Linked DNA regions of Arabidopsis thaliana. The protein of the gene in region 1 interacts with the protein of each later gene in a pairwise test. Each region holds a gene or a part of one and is shown on either strand. Other genes may lie near its edges.

The links.
Region 2: the proteins of PUB38 (region 1) and RK1 interact in a two-hybrid assay, tested with the Arabidopsis thaliana proteins (one study listed by BioGRID).

The regions. Positions count from the first base shown.
Region 1 is NC_003076.8:26,047,271-26,051,728, forward strand, and holds PUB38 (plant U-box 38), read right to left. Parts: upstream 2,777-4,458; 5' UTR 2,574-2,776; coding exon 903-2,573; 3' UTR 795-902; downstream 1-794. Other genes in the region: AT5G65180 (ENTH/VHS family protein), read left to right, coding at 33-536; AT5G65205 (NAD(P)-binding Rossmann-fold superfamily protein), read right to left, coding at 3,656-4,010, 4,096-4,255, 4,405-4,458. UniProt on the Arabidopsis thaliana protein: Functions as an E3 ubiquitin ligase.
Region 2 is NC_003070.9:24,466,929-24,473,277, reverse strand, and holds RK1 (receptor kinase 1), read right to left. Parts: upstream 4,497-6,349; 5' UTR 4,347-4,496; coding exon 3,068-4,346; intron 2,657-3,067; coding exon 2,522-2,656; intron 2,419-2,521; coding exon 2,228-2,418; intron 2,152-2,227; coding exon 1,941-2,151; coding exon of another isoform or gene 1,936-1,940; exon of another isoform or gene 1,856-1,935; coding exon 1,618-1,855; intron 1,515-1,617; coding exon 1,364-1,514; intron 1,276-1,363; coding exon 949-1,275; 3' UTR 806-948; downstream 1-805. Other genes in the region: RK2 (receptor kinase 2), read right to left, coding at 1-112. UniProt on the Arabidopsis thaliana protein: Involved in the regulation of cellular expansion and differentiation. Mediates subcellular relocalization of PUB9 from nucleus to plasma membrane in a protein-phosphorylation-dependent manner.

The DNA.
Region 1 (4,458 bases):
ATTGTGTGTCTGTCTTTGTTCTTATTCATCAGGTAGCACAAGAACAAACCGAAGAAGCCCAAAACATGCAGAAACGGCTCAATAACGAAACACCGGTTAACAATAACAACGGAACATCTGGTCAATCAGCGAAAATCACTCCTGCCTCAATCGCTGCAATGGCGGAAATGCTAACCTCATCAACAAACTCATCAATGATTATGCATTCTGTCCTCTCTTCATTTGCAGCCGAAGCTACACAAACTTCTGGTCTAACCAAATCAAACACCTCAGACACAAATGCATTTGTTGTTCCTCCAAATCCTCAGCAGTATCACATAATACCAAATCCAGCCGCATCACAACAGTTTCCTTATGGATTTGGTAACATTCCATTAATGCCACCTGGAGCACTGCCGCCACCGCCGCCTGGAACGTTGCCGCCGCATATGATGAATAATAACAACCAACCAAATGCAGCTCAGCAACAAGCGCAACAAGGTCAGAGTTTTCATCCACCGGGTATGATGTATTTTGGACCTCCACACCATTCTTAAGGTTAGTAAAAACAAACCAAAAAATCCAATTAGTTCTAGTATTAGATAGTTTCTGACCCACTTTATTTTATTTCATGTAACGCATATTGTAGAAAGTAGAAACGAGATCTTTTGTCTTACAAATCTTGTACCTTGAGCTGTTTAGTCAATTTTTCTTCTTTGTAACATAGTTAGACTTCTATTGTGTATCTGCGTTACATTTATATCTAGTATGCGTTTGTTTCAAATGGATCTTTTATATATTGTACAAAATATATATACATCAGTCATGCTTTTTTTCTCACATATTTCAAGTCAAGTTTACAAAAAATTTCAATCACAAAACATTTTGAATGTCTACTATACAACAACAAATGGAATGGAACTTTAGAAGCCAGAGGAGTTTTGAGTGACCACTCTGTTTCTACCACCAACTCGGAATCTAGACCTAATTGAGCCGTTGGAGTCGATAACTCGGTCCCAATCAATTGATCCTTCGCCATCTTCTTCATCATCCTCCGGCACTCTTTCTCTCATCAGCTGAAGAATCTTCTTTGCTTTCTCTCTAGCTCTCTCTGTTCCTCTCTCTTCCACTTCCTTCAACACTTCCACTGCTCTCGCCTCCTTCGCTAGTCCTTTGAATCGAAGACTCTCGTGGCTCAATGCGAACAACGCCGCTACGCAATTCTCACGAGCCGATGACGATGACCGGGCCTCTGTCGGCTCCTCCGTCCACTCCTCCCTTAACTTCCCTACAAGAATCGCAACCGCATTCGCATCAAGCATCGCCGATCTTCCTTCACTACAACACGCTAAATTACAGATCACCAACAATGCCCTGCTCGCCGATTCACCGGACCTAACCATCGAGAAAAGCGCTGGTACCGCTCCAAGCCTAACGAGCTTTGATCGATTCGTCTGATTCAACGTCAAATGGTAAAGCGCGAGAGCCGAATCATGCCGCGTCCGATCACTCTCAGCTGCACGTAACGCGTGAAGCAATGGCTGAAGCGCTCCTAAAACTCCAATAGGCATTTTATTATCATCTTCAAGAGAAAGACTAAAGATTGTTCCAGCTGCGTGTTCTTGAGCTTCTCTAGACCCCGACTTCAGAACATCGATCAAAATCGGAACAAATCCTAACCGAACAATCGTCAATTTGTTCTTCTTATCCAAAGACAGATTCACAAGCGACGCTAACGCGTTCGTCTGCACTAAACTGTATCTCGAAACAATCATATTCTTCAACAAAGAAAGAATCCGAGGAGAACAAAGCGAAACCCTAGCTTCATCATTAGTACGAGTCATCTTCCTCATCATAATCAAACCTTGCTCTTGATCAAAAATCTCACTGCTCTTAAGCTTGTTGTAAATCACTTCGTCCTCTTCTGTGGCGGTGGAAGTAGAATTAGAGAAGAAAGTGTGGTGCGTTAGGGTTTCGATTTCGGAGGAAGAAGATGATGGAGATGGAGAGAAGCAAGCGGGTCTAGTTGTTAAAGGAAGAGGAGTGAATGGACTGTGAGCAACGATTACAGATTCATCAGAAGAGGTCGTGGAGTTGTTGAAATCTCTCCTTCCCATGAGTTCAGAATCAGCGTGGTGAATTATCATCGGAGCTCGGTGAGCTACAGCTCTGAGAAGCTCTTGCTCGGAGACACGAATCTCGACGTCCGGTGGAGGCATCTGTTGCCGTAAAATTCTCTCGACGGTGGAGTAATCAGGTGGCTGAGGACGTGAGACGCCGACGGTGTCGCACCAAGTATCGATTGTTGATTTCATGTTTAGGTTAGGGATGATGTTGGAGAAATCGGGTAGAGATTCTTCGTCGTCGTTGAGTTTGGGGATAAAGTTGAGGTCGCGACAGACTTGAACACAGACACGTTCGAAGGTTTGACCGGAAGAGACAACAACAGGGTCAGACATTACTGATTTTGAAATCGGACAGAGAAATTCGACCGGAGGTTGTTGTTCTTGTTGCTGTTGTCGTGAAGATGAAGAGGTTGAAGAAGACGATCTGTGGCTGAAAGGATTCCATCTGAGCCGTCCGTTTTTACCCATCTGCGACAAATCAACGGTCAGGAATTGGTGGTGAGTTTGATTTCTGAAAAGGGTTTTGGGTTTTATGGAGAGGAATTAGGGATTTGAATTCATCTTTCGTGATTTTCTGAGAAGAAGAAGAAAGATGAGAAGAGAGGAGAGTCGTCTTCTTCCTCCTGAACTGAAGGACTTTGTGGCCTACTGACTTTTTTTTTTTGGCTTTTGTTTATTTTCGAAGTGACTATTAATTTTTTTTTTAAAAACTTGAACATATTAGTAGTAATCGAAAATGTTGACTGTGAAATTAATATAGGTGGACCCAGATGTGAATTGGCTTTCATAGTTCATGCATTCTGAAAAGTTTTATTGCTTTCTTTTTCAGGTCAATTTTGTTCATATACTTTTCTTAAAAACATATCTTTTAACTTACGTACTTATAAACTTGGAATGTAATTTATCATTTTGGAATGTAATCTAATTTGTTTTAAAAGGATGACAATACAGTGATACACTGAAATATGTGGCATCAATAAGTTTAATTTTTGCTGAATAATAAAATGATTAGATTTTTCACTAAACATGATGGACATCCATGCCATTCTTAGCTTTAGGGGAAAAAAACTTTTCTCAGTTTTAGCTGTAAGCTTTACATTGAACCTCTGACCACTTTTTATCTTGTCCTCTGATGATGCATTGTTGGGTTGCAAGTTGCATCACAGATGATATGACATTTCCCCTACAAATCTTTGTACCAAAAACCAAAGTATAAGGGTAGTCTAGTAGACAATCTGGCTTTACGGTTTTATCTTGTTTCGAATTAAGTTTTACCTGTTTTATACAAACCAAAATCGAATAAAAACTCATTTTTAGTTCGATTTGGTTTTGGTTCGGCCTTTTGGATCTTTTACTATAAATGTAACATGGTTAGGCACTGTTTTTTTTGTTTATAACCAAGTTTCTGCTTAGCCACTGTTTTGTTTTTGTTTTTGCACACCCTACCAAAGTAGTACCTTGATTAATCCTTTTACTAAAGATGTAACATGGTTAGGCAACACATTTACTTTGTTGGATACATTTAAAACAGTTTCTAACCAAGAACACAACTATTCAGGTTTTACTCCCTTTTTCATAAAACTCTTAGTCAACAGAAAATCTTTCATGAAAATCGGTATATGGTGCATGATCGCCATGACTGTAGATAACCTACCTGTAGAGTACCAAGCCGGTGGGTTTTTCTTCAGCACCACGGAAACAGTCTCTTTCGCAAAAGTCTCTGTGGGTATCGGCTTTATGTTTTGCGACAGAAACGCTCTCTCACGGATAGCGTCCTCGAACGGTTTGTATAGTTTCAATTCAGGTAAATTGTTGAAACTCGATATCCCTGAGTTAGCTATGTTTGATTGAATACCTCCTGGTACAATGTTGATTACATCAATCCCAAATGGCTTAAGCTCCAACCTAGACAAACACAAAACAAGATAGTGTTTACTGTTTAGATGATATTAATCAAGCTGATGAAAAGAGACTGCTGAAATCGAAAAACCTTAAAGTGTCGGTAAGAGCATGAAGAGCAGCTTTTGATGCAGTATAAACCCCAGCCCATGGTCCTGGTGCCATTATGCTAATACTTCCTATGTTCACAATCTTTCCCTTTTTCTTAGACGCCATGTGAGGTACAACAGCTTGAGTCATCCTCATGGAACCTGCAAAGTTTCTTTACAAAGTTCAGTTCTTGAAGAGACTTCTCACAACCCAAATCAACAGAGCAAAATAAAACATGAAAGAGTTGAGTCAAGAATTTTAACAAACACATGGTGTGCATATAAGAAGTAACTCGAAAATTTTCATTCACCGAGCACATTGGTGTTGAAGGTGTAATCCATGGCTGAAATTGGAATCTCCGCCA
Region 2 (6,349 bases), on another chromosome or scaffold:
TAGTGAGAGATTCTGTGGCTGAAAAGTTGCTTGCATAAACAGAGAAAGCAAGAAACAGAATTATGATGAATAATATGAAGTAAGAATGATGATAGTTTGGTACATTTCTCATCTCTCTCTCTCTCTCTAGCTAGGACACTTTCTTGTGTTCTGTTTTATTTTCTTCTTATGAAAATTTTATGTACATATAATTGAGAATTTTTATCTTCGGAGATTACGACATGTTTGGTGTTGAAATGTGTGAACGTCATTTACACGATTTCTCTCTATTGTTGATAATATTTCATTTTCAGCTACATTTTCTTGGTCTTCTTGTTCGCTTTTGAAATATCTATAGACTATGTCACTATAGAATTGAGTCAATGACCTTAAAAGTCGTTAAATTGATAATTATGGTTTTGTAATTTCCTAGTAACTGACTTTTCTTCGTTTACTCCAAAAAAATAATATCCTCAACCATTTGTGTGTGTGTGTACGAGAATAGACAAAATTTCAATGTTGCTGGCGACATACTAAATGTTATATGCAAGAGAATGCTTCACCGATGAATTCATAAAAGTTTAAGGTATATATTCGATTTGTTTCATAAAGTCCTCTGTTGTAATAGCCATAAAGTCCTATGTTCGCTTCCAGTATTGGTCTATTATCAGTAGTATGTACAAAAAGTGAATATTAATCATTACTGAATTCCCACTTAATTGAGTTTCGGTCTCAAACTTCAAATCTTGGAGTGACAACTCCAAATCTTGCATTTTTTTGTCTTTGTCTAAATGTTTTTTTTTTATAATTCTCGCTCTAAATCAAAATCATGTGAAACATGTGGTGAATCTTTTGTCTAAATTAAATTAGATAGAGCAAGATATCGAATCATATATGTAGTAATAAAATCTATTTAGACTTACCTATAAAATGATATGCATGTAAACAGATTGGGCCGTAAGTTACAAATTACCGAGCGTCAATGACCGAGAGAGTGATTTGGTTCACTGTACATTCATCGTCGCGCTGTGTACTTGAAGAAGAATCAGCCTCAAGAGGACTTCTACCAATGCAAAATCCAGGACGTTTAGGCTGAGGAATAGCGGTAGTTTCGCTTCCAAGCATCACCATTACCGAGGACATCACTGGTCTGTCTTCGGCTCGTTCTTGAACACACAAGAGACCAATTTGTATACATCTTAAGATTTCATGTGTCGGGAACTTTGATGACAAAGAATCGATGTTGATCGGATCTACAATCTCTAGCTCGTTTCCTTCCTTCCAATGCCTCCACACCTGTGCATAAAGGATGTAATATTTCTTTAGTGTTATAATCAGATTATGAATGCAAAACAATATCGAATTGAAGAGGTTTTTAGCTTACAAAACCGAGGAGATTAAGATCACGGTTTGAGTTGTAGAATCCTTTGTTTCTTTTTCCACTTATAATCTCTAGAAGCAAGACCCCAAAGCTGAAAACATCCGACTTCATCGAGAATATCCCGTCCATTGCATATTCTGGAGACATGTAGCCGCTGCATAACAAAATATAAACTCATATGTTATGAGGTTTTTAAGAAAATATTTGGACTTGAGATAAAAGCTCTTTTTTTGTTTTGTTGAAGAATGATTGCTTACTAAGTTCCGACCACCCTCCTTGTATTAGCCTCTGTCTCCTCCCGTCCAAAGATCCTCGCCATACCGAAATCCGAGATCTTTGGAGTCATATTTTTATCAAGCAATACGTTACTTGCTTTCAAGTCTCTATGGATAATCCTACACCGTGAATCTTGGTGAAGATATAGAAGTCCTCTAGCAATACCATTGATAATATCAAATCTCTTTTGCCAATTTAAGTTAGAGCTTCGTGTTTGGTCTACACATCCAACACAACCAACAACAAGTTAACGTTTTCACAAAAATGTTCAATTATTAGAACAGAAGCTGTTTGAGTCACTAACCAAAGAGATGCGAGTCAAGGCTTAAATTCTCCAAGTACTCATAGATCAACATCTTCTCACCCTTATCGACGCAACAACCTAGAAGCCGGACAAGGTTTATGTGCTGAAGCTTTGCAATTAATCTAACCTCGTTCATGAACTCATCGGTCCCTTGTGAGGACATTTTCGATAGTCTCTTTACCGCAATTTCTTTTCCGTCAAGTAATCTTCCCTATTACCACACATGTGATTATACAATGAAACCATGTGCTGTGGTAGATTTTCAATATGTTTTGAATCACTTTTACCTTGTAAACAATTCCGAATCCACCTTGTCCAAGCTTGTTGTCGTTAGAAAAATTGTTTGTTGCCGTGGCAAGAGCTTCCAACTCCAACAATGGAAGCTCTAGGTACTCACTTTTTTTTTCTTTGGATGTGTAACCCCTCCTAGATACTACCACATCGTTGATTAGCGAGTCTTGGCTTCTCACTTGATCAACTGTTTCATTCAGGCGTTAAAAAAAAAAAAAACAATCAAGACATTTGATTATCAAAATTTATTGACAAAAATAAAGGAAATGAAAGCTAATGATTTATTTTACCATTAGGTGTTTGAATTGTTATTGATCGCTTCTGCTTCCTTTTCCAAAAATGGAAGATGACAAAACTTAAAAGAAGCAAAATGCTCACTCCAATACTCGAACCTATAATTTTTTCATTTTTGATTCTCTTGTCCTCTGCAATAAAAACGAGGCATATATTTACTTCTATACGAAAAATATCCTTTGTTGTACGTTTGATTAAAAAAAATTAATACGAAAAATAAACAAAATAATTAATTTAACTTAAACAAAAATTCTTTTTGGTATAATGGTATTGGATCTAGCTAAACTCTTATTAATCTTTTGATCTCTAATTAAAAACAGATGACAAAAAAAAAAAACTAAACAAATTGACCAAACATCAAGAATGTACTTTGTTGACCAAAGCCTCTATAGATTAGGGAGTTTGAACTTTGCTTCGAGAGGGACAATATTACATGACTTGGTCCGCAGATTGGGAAGATATATTGACTTTGGGTCATAACTTTTTAATCAAAACAAAAAGTAAGAACCACTTTAGTAAATGCAAATAAGAAAGAAACTAACCGAGTTCAGCAGCGGCTAGTCTAACGTAAAGATCCTGACCTCCCTTAGCATAATTTCGCATATCCAAAATCTCTCTGGTCCAAATCACACAACCAGACCCGCCATTGCGAATATCCGCATTAGCGAACGCAGTGCAATTACAATCTTCTAGACACCTTTCTTTACATACTTTCAACCCAATTTCTCTGTCCACAATTGTCGCCGTGGTATCTGGCAATTTCATCCTCTTCAACCGGGTAAAACCATCTCTACCGTCACAGCTCAGCCTCGTCTTCCTCATGCAACCAGCGGAGCCATCTCTCAAGTCCCACGCTTGCTCATTCACTGGCTTAAACCCTTTGATACAATAACAATTTGGTAAACTGTTCGAGTCGCAATAACCGAAATTCCCGCACACTTTGTAGTTATCGCATAGGTCCTTCGGTGAGTACCATAGTTGCTTCCAACTCTGTGTTGTCTCAAACCAAGTCAATCGTTGTAATAAACCCGCAGAGTTTAAGTATAATCTCGAGTATAAGTTTGTTTTGTTGATTCGGTATGAGTAAGTCACTTCCTCCTTACTTGCTGTGAAATTGTAAACCATGTAATCAACTTGAATTGTCCCTGGTACGCTGCTAAAACGCATTCCATTCCATGGACCGCTGCGGTATAGTATCGACTCCTTGCTGCATATGTAAAACTCAGGGAACTCGCTGGTTTCGAGTTTTGTCGAAAACTCACCGCTTGATGGATCATCTGTTGTTTTCCAGGATCTCAAGATCCTGTTGAATCCGGTTTTCTGATCCCATCCCAATTTCATCTCCGCAAGTAAAGTATCTGTCGGAAAATCGAAACTCTGCCATAGAAGTCTGTTATTGGAGTCTCTGAGCAAGAAATTACCGTTATCAAGAAGCTCTGCAGCCACTGGTGATCTCACATCTCCTCCGGTTATATTCGTCGACCAAACAGGCCTATCGGACTGATCGAAAATGACGAGGTTATTGCCGGATATTTTGAGAGTTCCGTTGGAGCTAGAGAGAGGATTGTCTCTGTTTGCAACCCATACGTAGGTTCTTATAGGGATTATCTTGTACCATATGCCGAGATACCAACGCGAACTTGATGCGGGATTGAAGAAACCGAGCTCGAAGATTTGACTAGGAGATATAATGGTTTTGTTGCTTGAGATAGTGAGAGATTCTGTGGCTGAAAGAGTGTTTGGAGAAACAGAGAAAGCAAGAAACAGAATTAAAATGAGGAAAATGAAGAAAGAATGGTGGTAGTTTGGTACACTTCTCATCTCTCTCTAGGACAGTTTCTCGTGTTCTGTTTTCTTTCTTCTTGAGGGAATTTTATGAGAATTTGAGAATTTTTATCTTCGGAGATTCATATTATTGTTGATGTGTGCCGTTATTTACACGATTACTCTGTATATTACATTGTTGATGATATTTCATTTTCGGCTGTCTTTTCTTGGTTTTCTTGGTTTTCTTGGTCTTCTTGTTCGCATTTGAAATATCTATAGACTCTGTCACTATAGAGTTGACCTAGCAAATGACAAGAAAATAACTCGTTAGATAGACATTTACTTATCAGTGTTTTTGTAATTTTCTTAGTAACTGACCTTTCTTCGTTTACGCAAAAAAGAAACAAATCTCGTCAACACTCCTTATTTGTGTGTGTGTGTGGCCAGGCCTATGCGTGTCTCAGAGAGATATAAAACTAATTTGTGTTTTTCTCGTTATAAATAATCTTTTTTTTTTGGTTTTCTTTCCTTTCCTACGAATATCAATTCATGAAAGAAATTAACTTACACCACCAAGCTTCAACTATTTCATTCGCTAGACAAGTAAATCATTAACCTTAGACTACAAAATGACATTTGTTTGGCAGAGCTTCGTATTCGTAGTGCTGTGTGTACTGGCCATCGCATCATGACCGGTTCAATTCTATCATGGGTTCTAGAACAAAATTGTTTTTTGGCTGCCCTTATAAATTTCTTTTAAAGATTTTACATTATTTAAAAAAAATTGTATGACAGTTCTAATAAAATTTAGTTATTAAAAACAAAAGCAATACACAAAATATTTATGGGCCCTTCTGTTTTATTATTTATAAAATTTAGTTATAAAATTTATTATTTATTACAAATAATGAGACTTGTTACATAAACGATTTTACAACGTACAATTCCTTTAAAGTCACCAAAATATTGTCAATAAATATTAGGTGCAATCATAGGTTGTTGTTATTCTTGATTTGTTTTGTATGATTCTTACTTGTTCAGATCGTATAAACTCATCAATACCACTTGAAGGAGTTATCAATATTTTATTTCCATGCTTTATATTTTTAGAACTTTATCTTTTTATTTTTGCATAGAATTGAGCCATCTCATAACATTTGCTCTTAATTGATGCACTCTCTCTTTAAATGAATCAAGAAATTGTTAACTGCTATATTACCTTCAACATTTTTTTCTAATTCATATATAATTTTGTATTATTGTGTAAAATTTTGTCTTTATAATATTATTTGACATAGATTTTATTTTATGAAAATTTTGTCAATACAAATAATTATTATTAATGTTGAAGACTATGCAAATGCAAAAAAAAATAGAAATAGATTTTAGAATATACTAAATTCTATTGCTTTCTTCTTCTCTAGCTTCTCTCTAAAACATCCACGAACACATCCTCTTTTTTTAAATTAACATTATTGTCATAGCCTTATAGGACTATCTAGTCATGTTTAGCTTATGGCGTAGATAGGCTAGATTGCGAAAGCGTGTAAACCGGTTAAATACGAAACGTAATTACTTTACATAGTAGACCCGTAAGTAAACAAATAACTCAAGAAAGCCCCAAAATTTTACCATTTTAGTTAATTACTTCTTCTCCTCCTTTCCCTCCAAATCCTTACTCATCCATGTCCTTCTAAAAGAAACCTCTGTTCCTGTCTCCCAAAACCAAACCCTTCTTCGTCTCGAAGTAATCAAACTCTGACAACAACAACTCGAATTCAAAGTAAGCGGCTAAAATTTCATTGCATCATCTTCAAATTTCGTTGCCACACGCTCTAATGTTCAAGCCAACGTTAGAATTTAGGGTTTTTCATTGCGAATCTCAAAATCCTAAGACGTTGTTTACCAAAAAGAACAAAGAAGAAAAAACCTTACTTTACCTTTCAATGATCAATGGTTCTCGTAAAAATAGTTCCTTTTGCTTCTCTGTTATAGCCAAAAGTGTAAAGTTCGTACCTTTGAGGGTTCACTTGTTTAATGGGTTTTGTTGCGTTAAT